Saccharomyces cerevisiae S288C: one gene and its partners. The gene in region 2 interacts genetically with the main gene of each other region. Each region holds a gene or a part of one and is shown on either strand. Other genes may lie near its edges.

Region 1 (7,514 bases), on a different chromosome or scaffold from region 2:
TATGTCTAATGGTGATATTATTGTGGGAAGTAGTGATAATCTTGTGAGAATATTTTCGCAAGAGAAGTCAAGATGGGCTTCCGAGGATGAAATAAATGAACTATCTACGCAAGTGGAAAAATCCACTATAAGTTCCAAGACAATAGAATTTGATGAGTCTAAACTATCACCTTATGAAATTTTACAATCGCCGGGGCGCAAAGAGGGTCAAATTGTGGTAGTCAAATCACCTCAAGGTACTATAGAAGCTCATCAATTTTCAAATTCTTCATGGAAAAAGGTTGGTGATGTTGTCGGTGCAGGTGCTACTGGAAACGACAAAAAAATAGAATTCGAGGGTAAAACGTATGACTACGTATTTGATGTGGATATTGAAGATGGAAAACCTCCCTTGAAATTGCCGATTAATGTCAGCGACAACCCATATACAGCAGCCGACAATTTTTTGGCTCGTTATGAACTGCCAATGAGTTATAGGGATCAAGTAGTACAGTTCATACTGAAGAACACTAATGGCATATCGCTAGACCAGCCCAACGATAATGCATCATCTTCTGCAGTATCACCTTCAAAAACGAGCGTAATGAAGGTTCTTCCTGTCAAGCAGTATCTTATCATGGAAAATTATAACCCAGATACTATTTTCAATGGAATAGTAAAAATAAATTCAAATGAGAAGACCTTTGATGATGAAATTCTGGCGCAAATTGGTGGCGCACTACATGACATAGATGAAAGCTGGGAGTTGCTACTTTCATTTGCTAACACTATAAGATCTAACTGGGAAATTAAGACTCCTGCATACGACATAGTACGATTGATTGTAAAAAAATTACCTTATTCTTCAGATATAAAAGATTACATCGAAGAAGGCTTGGGCAATAAGAATATCACTCTAACCATGTTAACTGTGCGTATTTTGGTAAATTGCTTCAATAATGAAAACTGGGGTGTGAAATTACTGGAATCAAATCAAGTTTATAAATCAATTTTTGAGACTATAGATACTGAATTTTCTCAGGCATCTGCTAAACAGTCACAGAATTTGGCTATTGCAGTTTCCACACTAATTTTCAACTATTCAGCTCTCGTCACGAAAGGGAACTCTGATTTAGAACTTTTGCCTATCGTAGCTGACGCCATCAACACCAAGTATGGGCCATTGGAAGAGTATCAAGAATGCGAAGAAGCCGCATATAGGCTAACCGTAGCTTACGGAAATTTGGCTACTGTTGAACCTACATTAAGACAATTTGCCAACTCCGTAACTTGGCTTGCAAACATCAAAAGGAGCTATGGGAACGTGCCAAGGTTTAAGGATATTTTCGACGATCTCTCCTAATACTTTTACAGCAATCATATAAAACACATAATGTCTAGATAGCAAATAATCTTTAAAATTCTTTCTGCCCTATTGAAAATTATGACAAACTATCACGGTCATTTTCTGTCTAACTCGGCAAGAAATTATCATCGTGAAATGAAAAAGGTTACATACAATAAGGTTATTTTGAGTACAGACTGATAAATAGATGGAAAAGACTAAAAAACTGAAACGATAAGCGTCTAGTACCTTTTCCATTAGACGATTCAATACTGCATTTTGCAATGGACAAAGCATTTGACGAAATTATTGGAAATAGTCACACAGACAGCTCATCTAATCATAAGGTAACGAGATACCGCAGAAGGGATTTAAGAAATGAATTAGGACCTAGACTGGGATTTGCGCCTTCGGATGCTGCATCAAGGTCGAAAGATCGCCTTTATAGAGAGAGGGAAGAGCCTCCTTTGCCTAAGAGAATTAGAATATCCAAAATCCCACTAGACGTTTCTGACTACACCCTCGATGATATGATTAAAGAGTTTGGCTCGCCAATATTTTCGAAAATTTTTGACAATAAAGAGGATCGTACATGTATTTACGAATTTGAAGACCCAGAAGTTTTGGAAAAGATTGTCGAGCGTTATAATGGACATGAGTTACATAATGCAAAAATTGAAGTGGAGATTTACCAACCACAGAGAAAGCATTCTAGAATGAATGCCCACAACCGTCGCAAACAGACGGCTCAAGAACACGGAAGAGGCAGGCCAGGGAGCCATTATCGCCAAAAGCCTAACAGAGTCTCCAAAAAGAACAAGGGCCGTGAGAAGAATAACACTCCTACTTCTGTCGAAGCTCTTGACGCTGAATTAGATGCTTACATGAAAGGTTAAGCAATTGTGTATCTACTTATAATTTCTTTATAGTCTTTTCAATGTTTTTTTACTCCATCAGTCTACAGATATGAAACCTCAGTACTACTTTTTACCTAAATAATTAATTTTTATTTCTAGAGGGTAGCAATGATAAACACTTTACCAATCTCTGGAATTAAGAACAAGCGTACTCCGCTCTATTCAGTATTATTTGCATGAATACTTCAACAATTGTTTTGTTTGCCTCAGGTGCTTTTCCGATTGAGCACGATCGCCATAACATTACCACTGAAAAGAAAGATAAGATCAAATGTTACGTGGTGTTGAAGAAAGAATGCCAAAAACTAAGAACTGAACTTAAACAGTAATAATTTTGAGCATTGAAAACCTAAATATAACTTCTTGGTATACAATGCAGAAAGGAAACATAAGAATTGCCATCGATAAGGGTGGAACTTTCACTGATTGTGTGGGGAATATTGGTACAGGTAAACAAGAACATGATACTGTCATCAAGCTCTTGTCGGTGGATCCCAAAAACTATCCAGATGCTCCCCTTGAAGGCATAAGACGTCTCTTGGAGGTGCTTGAACACAAGACAATTCCTCGCGGTATTCCTCTAGACATCTCTAATGTGAGAAGTTTAAGAATGGGGACAACCCTAGCTACAAACTGCGCTCTAGAAAGAAATGGTGAACGTTGTGCCTTCATTACTACGAAAGGCTTTAAGGATTCATTGCTGATTGGAGACCAAACCAGGCCAGATATCTTCAACTTAAATATAAAAAAGGTAGTGCCATTATATGACACTGTAGTTGAAATAGATGAGAGAGTTACTTTAGAAGATTTCTCGGAAGACCCTTATTTTACCAAATCGTCTCCTAATGAACAAGAAGGTATCCTGGAAGGTAATAGTGGCGAAATGGTAAGGGTCATAAAGAAGCCAGATGAATCAAGCGTAAGATCTATTCTGAAAGTGCTTTATGCTAGCGGAATCAAGTCTATTGCGATAGCATTTTTACACTCATACACTTTTCCAGACCATGAGCGAATTGTTGGTAATATTGCCAGGGAGATTGGGTTTTCTCATGTTTCATTATCATCTGAAGTCTCTCCAATGATAAAATTTTTACCGAGGGCTCACAGTTCTGTCGCAGATGCCTACCTTACTCCGGTAATTAAAAAGTACTTGAATAGCATTTCTGCAGGTTTGAGCCACGCAGAAGATACCCACATTCAATTCATGCAGTCTGATGGTGGTTTAGTGGATGGGGGAAAATTTTCCGGTTTGAAATCTATTTTATCTGGTCCTGCAGGTGGCGTAATAGGTTATTCTAGTACATGCTATGATAAAAATAATAACATACCCTTAATAGGCTTTGACATGGGAGGAACATCTACTGATGTCAGTAGGTACGGCGATGGGAGGTTAGAACATGTTTTTGAAACTGTTACCGCAGGGATCATCATACAATCTCCTCAACTTGACATCCATACTGTTGCTGCTGGAGGAAGTTCTATTTTGTCATGGAAAAACGGGTTATTCAGAGTAGGCCCTGATTCAGCAGCTGCTGATCCAGGCCCTGCAGCCTACAGAAAGGGCGGGCCTTTGACCATTACAGACGCCAACCTCTTTTTAGGACGTTTGGTTCCTGAGTTCTTCCCCAAAATTTTTGGGCCCAATGAGGATGAATCACTTGACTTAGAAACCACTACTTTGAAATTCAGAGAATTAACAGATGTCATCAATAAGGATCTGAATTCAAATCTAACCATGGAAGAGGTTGCCTATGGATTTATCAAAGTAGCTAACGAATGCATGGCAAGACCTGTGAGGGCCATTACAGAAGCAAAAGGACATGTAGTATCTCAGCATCGGTTAGTTTCCTTTGGCGGGGCTGGCGGGCAACACGCCATAGCGGTTGCAGATTCATTGGGCATTGACACTGTTTTAATTCATAGATATTCTTCTATCTTGTCCGCTTATGGCATTTTCTTAGCAGATGTTATTGAAGAAAACCAAGAGCCTTGCTCTTTTATCTTGGGTGAGCCAGAGACCATCTTGAAAGTGAAAAAAAGATTCTTAGAACTTTCTAAAAATTCAATCAAAAACCTTTTATCTCAGTCGTTTTCTCGGGAGGACATAGTCTTGGAAAGATATTTAAATCTCAGATATGAAGGTACTGAAACCAGTTTGATGATATTACAAAAATATGATGACCAATGGAATTTTAGGGAATGGTTCTCTGAAGCTCATAAAAAAGAGTTCGGATTCTCATTCGATGACAAACGAATTATAATTGATGATATAAGGATAAGAGCAATTGGGAAATCAGGCGTTAGAAAAGAAAAAACGGTTGATGAGCAATTGATTGAAATTTCCCATTTCAAGAAAGCCGACGTGTCAAAGGATGCTAGTTTTACCCAGAAAGCATATTTTGACAACAAATGGGTCGACACTGCGGTCTTCAAAATTGATGATCTTCCTGCCGGAACAATTATCGAGGGCCCAGCCATATTGGCTGACGGTACCCAAACAAATATTATTTTACCAAACAGCCAAGCAACAATTTTAAACTCTCATATATTTATCAAGATCAACCAAAAGGCTGCGAAGACATTATCTAAAAGCGGATATGAACTTGATATAGATCCAATCTTATTGTCTATTTTCAGTCATAGGTTTATGGATATCGCCCTCCAGATGGGTACTCAATTGAGGAAAACTTCTGTTTCAACTAACGTCAAAGAGAGATTAGATTTTTCATGTGCACTATTCGACTCTAAAGGAAACTTAGTCGCTAACGCTCCTCATGTACCTGTTCACTTAGGATCAATGTCAACCTGCATATCAGCACAGGCGAAGTTATGGGAAGGCAAATTAAAGCCTGGTGATGTTTTAATCACAAACCATCCGGATATTGGTGGTACTCATTTACCAGACATAACAGTAATAACTCCTTCTTTCTCTTCAACTGGCGAATTGATATTTTATGTGGCTTCAAGAGCCCATCATGCAGATATTGGAGGTATTCTACCCGGTTCAGTGCCTCCAAATTCCAAAGAATTGTACGAAGAAGGAACCGCAATTTATTCCGAATTGGTTGTCAAAGAGGGAATTTTCCAGGAAGAATTAATTTACAAGCTTTTCGTAGAAGATCCAGGCAAATACCCAGGCTGCTCAGGTTCAAGAAGATTTAGTGATAACATAAGCGATTTAAAAGCGCAAGTCGCAGCTAACACAAAAGGGATACAGTTAATTGGGTCATTAACTAAGGAATATGATCTGGCTACAATATTGAAATACATGGCTGCAATTCAGACAAATGCATCTGAATCCATAAAAAAAATGCTTGCAAAAATGGTTGAACATTTTGGCACAACGAAGTTTTCTGGCGAAGATCGCTTAGATGATGGAAGCTTAATTAAACTACAAGTTATCATAAGACCTGAAAAAGAGGAGTATATTTTTAATTTCGATGGCACTTCTCCCCAAGTTTATGGTAATTTAAATGCACCAGAGGCTATTACTAATTCTGCGATTCTTTATTGTCTACGGTGTCTAGTAGGCGAAGATATTCCTTTAAATCAAGGTTGTTTAAAACCCTTAACAATAAAAATTCCTGCTGGTTCCCTCTTGAGCCCCCGATCCGGTGCTGCTGTTGTCGGAGGCAATGTATTAACTTCCCAAAGAGTGACAGATGTAATCTTAAAAACATTTAACGTCATGGCAGATTCTCAAGGTGACTGTAACAACTTTACATTTGGAACTGGAGGAAATTCTGGTAACAAAACCGATAAGCAGATCAAAGGCTTTGGATATTATGAAACCATATGTGGCGGCTCGGGGGCTGGTGCAGATTCATGGAGAGGAAGTGGTTGGAATGGCTCAGACGCTGTACACACGAATATGACCAATACAAGAATGACAGATACTGAGGTATTTGAAAGGAGATACCCCGTTCTGTTGAAAGAGTTCTCGATCAGAAGAGGTTCAGGAGGCAAAGGTAAATATACTGGCGGAAATGGCGTAGTAAGGGATGTTCAATTTCGGAAGGCTGTAACAGCATCTATATTATCAGAACGTCGTGTCATTGGCCCTCATGGTATAAAGGGAGGACAAGACGGTAGTAGAGGTGAGAATTTATGGGTAAGACATAGCACAGGCGCATTAATCAATGTCGGCGGTAAAAATACGATTTACGCTCAACCCGGTGATCGATTCATCATTAAAACCCCTGGTGGTGGGGGATTTGGACAATACAAGGATTAAAGCATTTCTTTTTGGTTCTTAGTCAATATCGAATTACACGGAACCATTGGTATACCGTGGATGCGCCAGCCACAAATTGACTTTTACAGAAAGTACAGTTTAATTATATAAGAACAGGCACTTAACAATGTTTCGGAACTCTGTAGATAAAACCAAATTACTCTTTCGAAAAGGCTACATTCTACATCAAAATCACCTGTGCAATATATATATATATATATATATATATATATATGCACATATTCGTTAATTTCTTCACTTTTTTCCCCAAATATTAAACAGATGGCTTCATTTCTTCAACATTATTTTCTGGTTCCTATGCCATTTTTAGCCTACTAATAATTATCGTTGAAAAATGTTTCTTGAATAAGTCTTAATGTAAGGATATATCATATGTTGAGATATAAAAATTTAAGTATAAATGAATCAAGACAATAATTTACATTGATTAAGTTATTTCAAAGTATAAGTATTTAGTATCATCATCTATTAAAGCACATTGAACCCTAATGTATGATGCCAATTGCGAATGCACTCACCGAAAAATTAAGGAATTAGCATTTACCAACTATCCTTGATTTATGCAATTTCAAAATAATAAAATATTCATACGAATCTTAACACTCTTCCATAACTTGTCCCATCATAGTTCTTCAAATTCCGATAATTAAATGCTGTTCAACTTCCCACGGAACTGATCTATGGATGTATAACCCTTAGCTTCCATTATGTCTTTTAATTCTTTTTCGATACGTTCAAAAATCTTGACGCCCTCTTTTTGTAATTCTGTACCAATCTGTAGCATAGAGGCACCACATAGAAGATGTTCAAATGCATCCTTACCGGACTTAATTCCACCTGTACCGATAACTTTGATTTCAGGTCTCAAACGAGTGTAAAATGCACGAACATTGGCGAGCGCGGTTGGCTTAACATATTCACCTCCAATACCCCCGAAACCATTCTTTGGCTTCACTACTACACTCTCCTTCTCCACATCAATGAAAAGACCATTTCCTATACTATTGATAGAGTTGAC
Region 2 (4,632 bases):
ATCGTTCAGAAGTATGGCTTACAAAATTAAACAGAGAATCTCAGAAGAGAATGACTTAGAAGAACAAGAAAGAGACGTAACTGTAAAATTGTCTTCATTATATCCTTATTTATCGAAAAATCCTGAAAACAATTCCAAAGTTAAGGCACTAGATACTAGCAAAATGGATCCATTTTTCAAAGAATTAGAAGAACTCTCAAACAGATGTCAACAAGAAGAACAAAATGAAATATGTAATAACCACTGTCCCGTTCTTAATTTGTTTGAGCGCTACCGTGTACCGAAACCTAGCGACGACAATGCCTATGGCAAAGACAAGGAAAGAATTAATTTAAGGAAGAAAATATCTGATAACTTTGAAAGGCGCTGGAGCTACGATAAAATGAAAAAGGAATTAACAAATATTGTTTACAAAAACAAGGTACTAACAAATGTTGTAAACATCTTCCCCTTAGTCGAAAAATATACAGTGAGCGCAGAAAATACACATGATGTTATATATTGGAGTTCTGTCATCATGAGAAATTCATGTCGAAAAAATGAGATCTTAGGTGTGCGTCAGTGTGCCAATTTTTCGTGCGGAAAATGGGAAGATTTTCCAAGACAATTTGCAAAATGTCGTCGATGCAAAAGAACGAAATATTGCTCACGAAAGTGTCAATTAAAAGCATGGGGATATCATAGGTATTGGTGTCACGAAGTTGGATCAAGTCATATGAGATCCACGAATACTACCACAGGTGTCAATACCCCAAATGAGCCTAGTTCTTTAAATGCCACCGCTACTACAGCAGCTGATGTTTCGAATTCTACCAGTACGTTCACTCCTAATATATCCACCACCGTACCTGATGAAATAAGCAATAGGGATGAAAATAGCATACCTGAGTAAAGTACAAGGGGATTTCGATGACCTAGGTTTAACAAGATCATGAAATATTCATTAACGGAGTTTTTTGTTTTCGCTTTTTTTATTTTTTGTTCCTAATTTTTTTTTTTTTTACATTTTATTAGCTATACACTTGGCGCAAGGATATTTTATATACCGGATATAATAGATAATTAAAAGACTACTAATTAAAAATGATGTAATATGGTAATAGGTATGGAAGAATCAGGGAGTTTTCAGAATGTTCTTTGCCCTCTCTTGGGCTTTCTAGTTTTGCACTTTTACTTATTCATCTCCTGTAACCGAAACTGAAATGGGGGGGTTTGGAAAGTTGTACAAAGACATAGCTGTTTTCTTTTTTTTAAATATTGAAGGAACGCTTTCATGTATTTTTTCAAACAATGAGTGATTCTTCTCATTATATTTTTGAATGGTGGAAAAGAAGGACCATTTGAGAATCATCAGGTACATAGCAAAGAAGCTAAAATTTGGCCACAACGTATCACTAAATTCAATGGTGGCATTTTCATGTACTTGCCATAGCATATAGTCTGAGAGCCTCCTATGCCCACTTGTTCTGATTAATAATTCACATTTATTGGAATGGAAACCCATGTACATTTTATTAGTAAATTTTCTTATATTAATCCTTGGTGATTTATTTTCCAAATGGTCTTCAACTGAATCACGAATAGTATGTAACATATCATTTCTTGAAGTGTAAGGAAAACATATAAATAAAGTGAAATCGTCTCCATCCTGTGTGATTTCTTCCACTTTTTTAATTTTTTTTCTCATTTCTGGAGATAGTAAAGATTGATCACCTACTATTCTTATTTTAGATCCGTATAAGGGATCCTTATAGTCCTTGGCTCTTTTTGCGAATTCATCAAGCTTTACCGTAAACAAATTCATTAGCGTATCTACTTCTTCTTTTGGTCTATTAAAATTTTCAATAGAAAATGCATAGGCGGAAACACATTTTACACCCAATCTTTTGCAGATATACAGTAGTGTTAGTAACGTTAACCCACCAGCTTCATGGCCTTTTTTTACTGGTAGCCTTCTTGACTTGGCATATCTCCGGTTACCATCCATGATAAAGGAGACATGTTCAGGCACTGGCCCTACCCTTAATGCTTTTATCAAAATATTCTGAAGATTTACATAAAACCATGAAAACAAGCTTAATGACATAACCCACGCAAATACTCTCTGAAATATACTTTTCACTGCGAAGCACATCTGTTCTTTGGTTTCTACCAAAAGCCTTTTTAGGGCTACAAACTGAATCTGAATAATACTGGGCATTTTCATTATGGTCAACAGAAACGTCCTATGTTTGAAAGGCAGCCTGTTCTTTATAAGTTGATAAATTGAGAAAAGTGCACCAAATCTTAATCTACTCTGTGTGTATTTTTAGGTCCCTTAAATAACAGAAAAAGTATAGCTTTAGCCGCCGAGGTCCACTCAGTTTGGAGTAGTTACCCTTAACAGGCACTCACTCCGTTTTGTTCTTTCGAAGAGATACGTTATAGTATATCGGCAACAAATGATAGGCTCATTGTTAGCGTTCATTAATTATTAGATTAAAATTTATTTAAGTGTATCGTGTTTCTTTACTTTATGTACGAAGATTAATATGCATTTAAAGGTATCATCCACGGAAAAAAAATACTCCATCAGCGTTAGCGGAAGTTATTAACTACTGTACCGCAGTCTACGCAATAATAGTTTCTATCTTGTTGGTCATTAGCACCAGAAAAAGCCTCAAACCTTGAACCGTTACAAACATTGCAACGGATAGGTAAATTCATTGCGCTCGTTGGAGTGGTAGGCCCATGTGCATTGGAGAAAATAGATGACATGCTTTCCCTTGGTGTTCTTGGCTGTGCATTACTGCCGAGTGTTTTTAGTGATGTACTGCTTTTGGGACATATATTAGAGTATCCACGTCCCGTTGCATAGCCTTTTCCAGTATTAGTATACGCCGCTGCCGGTTGGCCAGCCAAGTTTGATTTCGCTCTCGAGTTGAAGCTTCGACTCAAAGAATGCAAAGAATCAGAACTGTTAAACCTTCTCCGAACCTCTCTATTGTATTCTTCTAGTTTGAGTAACACGCGCTTTCTTATAACAGAGGGCATATCTGCTCTAAACACACGAATAGTCCCTACGTTATCAGTACTGATCAATATCGTTCCAATTGCGTCAACGACATCTGGGATAGCACTGGTGGCGGAAGCATTAGAAATTGAGCCTGGTTTAGAATTGTAGCCCAAAGACGACTCTACATCTGACATTATGCCATCGTCGTTACTCCGACTCAAAACATCGAAACTATCGGATGTCTGAAAAAACTCTAGAGATAGCTCGCAGATAACATCGTTAGACAAAGATAATGTTTTCGAAGTTTCTGGCGGTGCAATGCTAACACAAGTAACAGGGGCATTGTGTGCATGAAAAGAAATGTAATCCGTATTTTTGATATAATGATCGTTGCTATGATGAGGCAAGGGAAGTAAGTTAGTAAGTTTTAAATGATGATGTGGTTTTTCTTCGTTATTCTGGCTGGAAGACCTACTCATTGATTTACTAAATATGCTTCTCAAACTTCCGGACCGAGCCAATCCCTTTGGTTTCCTTTTAGGTTCGTCTTGATCATTCTCTCTATCCGAAGACTTTAACCTCCAGCCGTAAACCCAATGGTCATCACTACTATTTACAACGATTGGCTGACCATGCCAGATGGACAATTGTGCCTTGTGTTGGGAAGATCCGCTATGGAAGCCTTTCAATACCTCTAGAAGCTTCCTCTGTTCTAAGTCAAAAATTCTTATCCTCGAATCATTCGATGTAACTACTAAGCGGAAAGAATTGTCCAGTTGAGATCTAAAAGCTTGCAAACCCGTCACACGTGGACCATGACGAATTTTTGAGTCAGTTTCCGTGACCATGACGTGAGCGTTTTGTTCTTGTGTTTGTCTATCAGCTACGTGAAATGAAGAAACTGGAGTGAGACCTCTGGTCATCAGAATATGAACGTATCCATTAAATGTTCCTATTATAGTGTATTTTCCCTCCTCAGGGGATAATGTAACAGATGTTATTAAGTCTTGACAATCGTACTCAAAGCTAACTTCATCATCCAGTATAGACCATAACCTGCATTTGTGATCCAGACAGCCGCTAATGAAAAATCTATCGTCGGTGGGGTGAAATTCCACACAAGTGACAAAATCAGGATGTATGAATGTCTTAAGTGAATTTTTCCTATCGGGATGCCATAGTTTTACTGTCTTATCCATCGATGCTGACAAAATAAAATTATTTTTAGACCAATTTATATCCAGAACATCTTGCACGTGTTCTTTATACAGTCGCAAAGGCGTTGGGTGAAAGACAGGCGCATACAAATTCAATAATTTTTCCTTCTCTTCGTATTTCTCTGTAGCAGAATCCAAAAATTGTTTTTCTTTTGGATTGTTCAATGAACTGACCTGCTGTTTGATCCGCATCGACTTGGCTCGTGCCTCTTTATTTGATTCCGCACTCGAGTCCAATTCGGCTCTTTCAACTGGAGAGCCAATAACTTTCCATATTCTTATTTTACCATCTTTGCTACCAGTGGCCATAAATTTTCCATCGCGGCTAAACTTTGTACTCCATATAGCTTTAGAGGTTGGTTCAGATGATTTGGAAGTGGAGGTAACCGTTTCACCTTCGTAGGCCATTAGTTCTTGCGC
Region 3 (4,325 bases), on a different chromosome or scaffold from region 2:
TTCAGTGAGTATATTCTCCAAAGCCCTCTCTGTAGCTTGTGAAAACAATACGCCATCAGATTTGCGGAAACTCAATTGCACGAATTCTGTCGATGATCCTGTCGAGGACGAGGACGATAATGCCGAGTGCGAGCTCTTGTTTCTAGCCAGTGAATTTTTTTCTAGCTCAATATGGACCCTAGAATCATGAAAGTTTAGCCTGTTCAGCTTTGATCGTACTTTGGATGCATTAGGCAATCTGTGGCCGCAAATCTCGCAATTTCCTATTTGAGGATGATTAGCAAAAGTACAGGCGGGGCAAATGTTCTCAGAGTTCACTCCGAACTGATTCTGTGGGTTGGCGTTCGGGTCGATTGCATTAGAACAATTTATAGACGACTTGGTGAGCTCATAGTCCGCTGGCACACCGCAATTGATACAAATGGGTGTAGGTAGAGTGTCTTTAGTGAATTCCCCCTGCGTTTCGTTCGAAACCATACAGATGGGGCAGACCCACGTCGAAACAACGTCGGCACTTGCTGTTTCCGCACTTTTACCAAGTTCATCCTTACTGGAGGGGTCCTTGAAAAACAGGATCAGACGAGGTGATCTGGTCAAGAAGCCAGATGAATAGTTTACATACGCTAGATCGTCCAATTCCAACCCAAGCGAGTTCTGAGTGGGCTTTGCATCGTCGATGTAGATAATTCTTTGTGACGTTAAAAAGATTCTGCCCCTCTGTCGCTGTAGAATCTTAGATTTGCCATGGTAAAGACCTACGGACTGATCGATAAAGATATCTTTTTCACCTTCTCGAAGAAGAGGTTGGCCCGATGACGTAGTTTCCACATAATGCCAGTACTCCATCTTTTGAAAAAAAAAGAATGACTTTCAAAACACACTTCCTGATTCCTAGCCGAGGTCCCCTATTCTATCTTGGATGACCTTTTCTCTGCTTTTTTGTTTTTCAGTCTCCATCTTTTCCAGATGAAACATGTGAAACCCTTTTTCCTCTTCGTTGATCCTAAAAAAAGCGCGTCTGGAAAACAAGGCGAAGCTTCCTCACATGGAAAAGGCTTCTTAATATGTCGCTACGCCTCATTCCCATTGCATACAGAAAGCAAAGTAGTGCGTTTTGCGAACGTCACAGATCAAAAGTTTGGCCATGCATTGTCATTCTTTTTTTCTTACATACACTGCACCAGACATGTCGGTTCCGCCCCGCTAACGGTTAGTCAGCCACACATTGACGTACACTGTGAACAGCCTATTTCTTTCCATGTATCTCAGTGCCCAGCTTATGAGAACTGTCACAGCCTCCCACTTGACCCTCAGAGCCCTCTCCACTCCCCCCCTCTTTCAACATCGCCAGATAGCCGCCGTTGAATGGTGCGGGACAACCCGGCCTGGCCTGGCCAGGCAAAAAAGGACGCAGCACGCCTCGAGCGTTATTTCCAAATCGGGCGTACTATCAGCCAAGCCCAGCTCGGTATTTTTAGCGCTTCTCGCAGGAAAATTGGCTGAGAAGTATATATACGCGAGAATGTTGCTCTTCCATGTCTCAGTAGTCAATGAGTGTCCAGTGGTGTTTCATTCTGGACCAGTTGTTTGGAAGTAGAACTAAAAGAAACTAGATCAAGATCATACAACGCTGCGCAGTAGTGAAACTTGATTAAAGCAATAGAGAACTATTAAGAAAAAAACAAACACATCATCGAAGGACGCTATAAGCATGAGGAATTTTTTCACGTTATTTTTTGCAGCTATATTTTCGCTAGGAGCACTTATATTAGCCATTGTTGCATGCGCAGGATCAACGAAAAATTACAGTCCCATAAATAAAATTTACTGTGCAGAATTGGATCTGTCGCAGATGAAGGTATCGACGGTGCTCCCTTCTTTGAGTTCTGCTACGCTATCTTCGTTGGGCCTGCCCTCATATATAAATATAGGGCTTTGGTCGTACTGTACAGTGGACTCCTCGCATAACATCCAATCATGTTCTTCGCCTCACGGTATCCAGAATTTTAACCTATCGTCATTAGTGTATGACAATATCAACAACAATGAGGCTCTGGAGCTTATGGATTCCGTGGCCAGTGTTGTTTTGCCCGAAAAACTAAAAAGTAAAATGACATACTACAACAATTTGGTCAAGTGTATGTTCATTACCATTCTTATTGGTATTGTCTTGACCTTTGTGAATCTAGTGTTCAACGTATTGCGCTGGATCATCCACATAAGGCCGCTAACGTGGTTTGGTGCCTTTTTTTCATTTTTCGCCTTTGCCGCCCTATTAGTCAGTATAGGTTCGTGTTTGGGCACTTACTCATACATCAAATACATCCTAAAGCATAACTATAGTGATTACGGTATTTCAATGAGCATTGGTAGGAACTACCAGGGTTTGATGTGGGGGGCTGTCGTTGGAGCATTACTGAATTTCATTCTATGGTGTAGCGTGAGATCGAGGCCCACCGTCATCTATGCGAACGCTCCAATTGAGGAAAAACCATTGATTTGAATTTGAAAAAGGCAAGGTTATTAATTAATTTTTGTGTTCCGTTTCATATTAAATATGATTAAAATATATTGTCTATATACAATTCAGAAAATTATAATGAAGAAAATTAAAAGGATGGAGAATTGAAAAAATTTACGGGGTGATGTTGCATGATCTTCTTTTTATTATTTTACCTTGCAAAGTTTTTTTCAGCATCAATGGGGCTTTCGTGTTCTTCAATGATTCTTGAGGTAGTAGAGTCACTTTCTTGAACAGCTTTCTCAGCTTCCACGATGGCAGCTCCCTTTCTGCTGCTCCACCAGCAGTATGCAATGCAGAGAAATACAAGGACGGCAAATACAAATCCAGACCACATTAGGCCATAAAATGGAGAAGAGCCAGAAATAATGACATCGTAATTGTCCTTCTTGGAGCCGGATTTCATCATATTAAGGATGACGCTAAAGATTGTGCTTCCCAACCCGCTGAAAATACATATCCAACAGGAAATAAAGCCCAATGCCAACCATAATTTTTGACTCACCACGGAACGTCTACTTAGTAGCAACAAGAATACCATTAAGAAGAAGGATGTGATTATGCACATTAAGTTCATAGCTAAAGCTGCTTTCACTGCTGGGACATACATGTGTTGTCTGTCTTGTAATTCACCATCTAAATGCAAATCGTCCTTACCGATGTTCAGGGCATCCATATAAGGTTTAAAGTCCGAGCCTTCAATGTTGTTGTAAACAATCGACCGGAAATCCATGTTTTGAACAGCGTGTGACTTGCTACACGAGTACATTGTTCTGTTTAAGTGAGCACGACACATTGTGAAAATGGACAAACGGTATATGACAGGGATGTGTAGATATTCAAGGATAGAAGGAGTCATTTCCTTGAGTTGTTCTGGTGTGATAGTTGTCATGTTTACAGCAGAGTTTAAAATTTTCAACATGGGCATAAATGTAGCGGCATTAGTTTCTGCCCATTTGGTGATATTAACCAGAGAAGAGAAACTTGACACGGGGTCGCTTGACGCAGCTAATAGGCTGAACAAGTATGGAACGTACTTAAGTAATACGGTGTTATTGGCCAATTGGGATTCCAAAGTAGGGATTATGGAAACAACTGTGGATGCGTTAGCACTTGCAGAAAGGATTTCATCAAGTGCCACCAATTGGTTAGTAGAGGAAGCGGCTTCTTTAGAGAGGGCCAAACTTTCGACAGATGTTAGCAGCTCTGTTTGGTTTGTAGTGTAATTCAACAAGTCAGTCAAAGCACCCATGGCAGCTTTAGCGGAAGATGATTGGGTAATGTTTTCGGCAATCATAGTGCTCAATACGGATAATGTTACATTTTGAGATGTAGTTTCATCAAACAGAGTAACAACAGCTTGGACAGCTGGTTTTAAACTCGAAGGAACGAGGGAGCCTAATTGCATAATAGTTTCAGTAGCATTGCCACCTTCCGCAAGACTGGTTTTTAGACTAGAAAACAATGAGGAGACCGTTGAAGTTGGAATGGTAGAGTTCATTATGGTTTCTAACGCATCGCATGTGGCAGTAATGTTCTTGGAACTTGCGAATAACTCGAATACAGGCGACAATTTTGTCTTTTCTTCTGTGGTCATATTATTTAAAGTGATCAAAGACTCAGTAGTGCCTATAGGATTGGTCGAATCCACTAATAGGGTTAGAACAGTATTTTCTAAGGAAGCCGAAGTAGAAGAAGTGTTGGTTGACATAGATGACATCAATGTGCTAAACCCATCCAAGAGTTCGGTTGTGTTTTTAGAGGTAGTCAATAACTCATCAAGAGCGGAGAAGGTCGTGGTAGT
Region 4 (4,080 bases), on a different chromosome or scaffold from region 2:
CACTGTTCATTTTGTTACTATGAAAGTAGTTCGTCGCAATTTGTACTTTTCTTCGAAAGTCTTCTTTTGCAGTAGATGAAGTGTGTTCTGAGAAATTGATGCTTTCAAATGGCCTTAAAAAATTTTTGTATCATAGCTAACAACATACTGTTGCGCCAGGGGAAGTGAAATCATGGTTGTATATTACAATAGCATTATGTGCATTTACCAAGTATGGAAAAGCGGAAAGTGTGAAAGAAGTTTATGAAAAAAGCGGAAAATAAAAAAAAAAAGTTTATTTTCCTGTGACTTCTGGGAAGCAGTTAGACCTCCTTCGCTGTATTCTTAGGTGCTATACCTCATTTCCACGATGGTAATAGACGATCAGTCTATTAATGCGCTAAAGAACGTAGAAAAGTTATTAACTGAAGAAGCTTTGCTAATGCCGTCGCACATTAAACGGCTAGACATTGCCTTGAATAGGAAGCCGAATAATCTACGAAATATCATGGAGCTTCAGGGCCTTGCATATACTATAGTAAAAAAAAAACTAAGTTTTCCCCTGTAGTAAACAGGGAGATACCGTACGGAGGTCTGAATTCCCTACAGAAGTAGCTGTAAAAATTCAGAATTCGCAACAACCTATAATTGAGTTAAGTGCCTTTCCAAGCTAAAAAGTTTGAGGTTATAGGGGCTTAGCATCCACACGTCACAATCTCGGGTATCGAGTATAGTATGTAGAATTACGGCAGGAGGTTTCCCAATGAACAAAGGACAGGGGCACGGTGAGCTGTCGAAGGTATCCATTTTATCATGTTTCGTTTGTACAAGCACGACATACTAAGACATTTACCGTATGGGAGTTGTTGTCCTAGCGTAGTTCTCGCTCCCCCAGCAAAGCTCAAAAAAGTACGTCATTTAGAATAGTTTGTGAGCAAATTACCAGTCGGTATGCTACGTTAGAAAGGCCCACAGTATTCTTCTACCAAAGGCGTGCCTTTGTTGAACTCGATCCATTATGAGGGCTTCCATTATTCCCCGCATTTTTATTACTCTGAACAGGAATAAAAAGAAAAAACCCAGTTTAGGAAATTATCCGGGGGCGAAGAAATACGCGTAGCGTTAATCGACCCCACGTCCAGGGTTTTTCCATGGAGGTTTCTGGAAAAACTGACGAGGAATGTGATTATAAATCCCTTTATGTGATGTCTAAGACTTTTAAGGTACGCCCGATGTTTGCCTATTACCATCATAGAGACGTTTCTTTTCGAGGAATGCTTAAACGACTTTGTTTGACAAAAATGTTGCCTAAGGGCTCTATAGTAAACCATTTGGAAGAAAGATTTGACGACTTTTTTTTTTTGGATTTCGATCCTATAATCCTTCCTCCTGAAAAGAAACATATAAATAGATATGTATTATTCTTCAAAACATTCTCTTGTTCTTGTGCTTTTTTTTTACCATATATCTTACTTTTTTTTTTCTCTCAGAGAAACAAGCAAAACAAAAAGCTTTTCTTTTCACTAACGTATATGATGCTTTTGCAAGCTTTCCTTTTCCTTTTGGCTGGTTTTGCAGCCAAAATATCTGCATCAATGACAAACGAAACTAGCGATAGACCTTTGGTCCACTTCACACCCAACAAGGGCTGGATGAATGACCCAAATGGGTTGTGGTACGATGAAAAAGATGCCAAATGGCATCTGTACTTTCAATACAACCCAAATGACACCGTATGGGGTACGCCATTGTTTTGGGGCCATGCTACTTCCGATGATTTGACTAATTGGGAAGATCAACCCATTGCTATCGCTCCCAAGCGTAACGATTCAGGTGCTTTCTCTGGCTCCATGGTGGTTGATTACAACAACACGAGTGGGTTTTTCAATGATACTATTGATCCAAGACAAAGATGCGTTGCGATTTGGACTTATAACACTCCTGAAAGTGAAGAGCAATACATTAGCTATTCTCTTGATGGTGGTTACACTTTTACTGAATACCAAAAGAACCCTGTTTTAGCTGCCAACTCCACTCAATTCAGAGATCCAAAGGTGTTCTGGTATGAACCTTCTCAAAAATGGATTATGACGGCTGCCAAATCACAAGACTACAAAATTGAAATTTACTCCTCTGATGACTTGAAGTCCTGGAAGCTAGAATCTGCATTTGCCAATGAAGGTTTCTTAGGCTACCAATACGAATGTCCAGGTTTGATTGAAGTCCCAACTGAGCAAGATCCTTCCAAATCTTATTGGGTCATGTTTATTTCTATCAACCCAGGTGCACCTGCTGGCGGTTCCTTCAACCAATATTTTGTTGGATCCTTCAATGGTACTCATTTTGAAGCGTTTGACAATCAATCTAGAGTGGTAGATTTTGGTAAGGACTACTATGCCTTGCAAACTTTCTTCAACACTGACCCAACCTACGGTTCAGCATTAGGTATTGCCTGGGCTTCAAACTGGGAGTACAGTGCCTTTGTCCCAACTAACCCATGGAGATCATCCATGTCTTTGGTCCGCAAGTTTTCTTTGAACACTGAATATCAAGCTAATCCAGAGACTGAATTGATCAATTTGAAAGCCGAACCAATATTGAACATTAGTAATGCTGGTCCCTGGTCTCGTTTTGCTACTAACACAACTCTAACTAAGGCCAATTCTTACAATGTCGATTTGAGCAACTCGACTGGTACCCTAGAGTTTGAGTTGGTTTACGCTGTTAACACCACACAAACCATATCCAAATCCGTCTTTGCCGACTTATCACTTTGGTTCAAGGGTTTAGAAGATCCTGAAGAATATTTGAGAATGGGTTTTGAAGTCAGTGCTTCTTCCTTCTTTTTGGACCGTGGTAACTCTAAGGTCAAGTTTGTCAAGGAGAACCCATATTTCACAAACAGAATGTCTGTCAACAACCAACCATTCAAGTCTGAGAACGACCTAAGTTACTATAAAGTGTACGGCCTACTGGATCAAAACATCTTGGAATTGTACTTCAACGATGGAGATGTGGTTTCTACAAATACCTACTTCATGACCACCGGTAACGCTCTAGGATCTGTGAACATGACCACTGGTGTCGATAATTTGTTCTACATTGACAAGTTCCAAGTAAGGGAAGTAAAATAGAGGTTATAAAACTTATTGTCTTTTTTATTTTTTTCAAAAGCCATTCTAAAGGGCTTTAGCTAACGAGTGACGAATGTAAAACTTTATGATTTCAAAGAATACCTCCAAACCATTGAAAATGTATTTTTATTTTTATTTTCTCCCGACCCCAGTTACCTGGAATTTGTTCTTTATGTACTTTATATAAGTATAATTCTCTTAAAAATTTTTACTACTTTGCAATAGACATCATTTTTTCACGTAATAAACCCACAATCGTAATGTAGTTGCCTTACACTACTAGGATGGACCTTTTTGCCTTTATCTGTTTTGTTACTGACACAATGAAACCGGGTAAAGTATTAGTTATGTGAAAATTTAAAAGCATTAAGTAGAAGTATACCATATTGTAAAAAAAAAAAGCGTTGTCTTCTACGTAAAAGTGTTCTCAAAAAGAAGTAGTGAGGGAAATGGATACCAAGCTATCTGTAACAGGAGCTAAAAAATCTCAGGGAAAAGCTTCTGGTTTGGGAAACGAAGGAACTCCAATCGGGAATGAGGAGAGCACAAATAAAGCTAAAAATGGAAATAAAAAGCGGAATAAAAATCGAAACAGAAATAAGAAGACAGAGACAAAGGAACAAAATGAACCTAAACCTGTGACTGGAGGGGAAGAAGTGAGAGTCGAGAAATCTCAAGCGAAAAACAGAAGGCGGAAAAACAATAATGGAGCTAATAAAAAGAATACCCTACACTACTCAAAGGAAATTAATGTAGAAGAGCGAAAACAAATCGCAAAAAGGCAAGAAGAAATCGAACAATGCATTCACACCTTATCCGATTTTAAACTGTTTAAAAAGGGTAAGCACGTTACCTCATATGGCTATCGAATCTCCCCCATGACAGACTCCGGTAAGATTTCTTTGAAAATTTTATTCAACATACCTTTGGATTATCCAAAGGCCCCAATAAAACTAACGATGAAAAG

The links.
Region 1: mutations in SRT1 (region 2) and OXP1 together harm fitness more than expected from each alone (negative genetic interaction), as found in Saccharomyces cerevisiae (one large-scale study listed by BioGRID).
Region 3: mutations in SRT1 (region 2) and PUN1 together harm fitness more than expected from each alone (negative genetic interaction), as found in Saccharomyces cerevisiae (one large-scale study listed by BioGRID).
Region 4: mutations in SRT1 (region 2) and YIL163C together harm fitness more than expected from each alone (negative genetic interaction), as found in Saccharomyces cerevisiae (one large-scale study listed by BioGRID).

The regions. Positions count from the first base shown.
Region 1 is NC_001143.9:25,788-33,301, reverse strand, and holds OXP1 (5-oxoprolinase), read left to right. Parts: upstream 1-2,614; coding exon 2,615-6,475; downstream 6,476-7,514. Other genes in the region: DOA1 (Doa1p), read left to right, coding at 1-1,342; YRA2 (Yra2p), read left to right, coding at 1,609-2,220; URA1 (dihydroorotate dehydrogenase), read right to left, coding at 7,143-7,514. UniProt on the Saccharomyces cerevisiae protein: Catalyzes the cleavage of 5-oxo-L-proline to form L-glutamate coupled to the hydrolysis of ATP to ADP and inorganic phosphate.
Region 2 is NC_001145.3:467,271-471,902, forward strand, and holds SRT1 (ditrans,polycis-polyprenyl diphosphate synthase), read right to left. Parts: upstream 2,207-4,632; coding exon 1,175-2,206; downstream 1-1,174. Other genes in the region: MYND-type zinc finger protein MUB1, read left to right, coding at 1-892; LAF1 (Laf1p), read right to left, coding at 2,578-4,632. UniProt on the Saccharomyces cerevisiae protein: With NUS1, forms the dehydrodolichyl diphosphate synthase (DDS) complex, an essential component of the dolichol monophosphate (Dol-P) biosynthetic machinery.
Region 3 is NC_001144.5:951,531-955,855, reverse strand, and holds PUN1 (Pun1p), read left to right. Parts: upstream 1-1,711; coding exon 1,712-2,503; downstream 2,504-4,325. Other genes in the region: ESCRT-II subunit protein VPS36, read right to left, coding at 1-846; YLR415C (uncharacterized protein), read left to right, coding at 1,259-1,597; INA1 (Ina1p), read right to left, coding at 2,673-4,325. UniProt on the Saccharomyces cerevisiae protein: Contributes to the wild-type cellular response to nitrogen stress through signaling pathways that regulate the expression of genes involved in amino acid biosynthesis. Required for wild-type filamentous growth, cell growth, and cell-cell adhesion.
Region 4 is NC_001141.2:35,871-39,950, forward strand, and holds YIL163C (uncharacterized protein), read right to left. Parts: upstream 1,383-4,080; coding exon 1,029-1,382; downstream 1-1,028. Other genes in the region: beta-fructofuranosidase SUC2, read left to right, coding at 1,515-3,113; SMU2 (Smu2p), read left to right, coding at 3,563-4,080.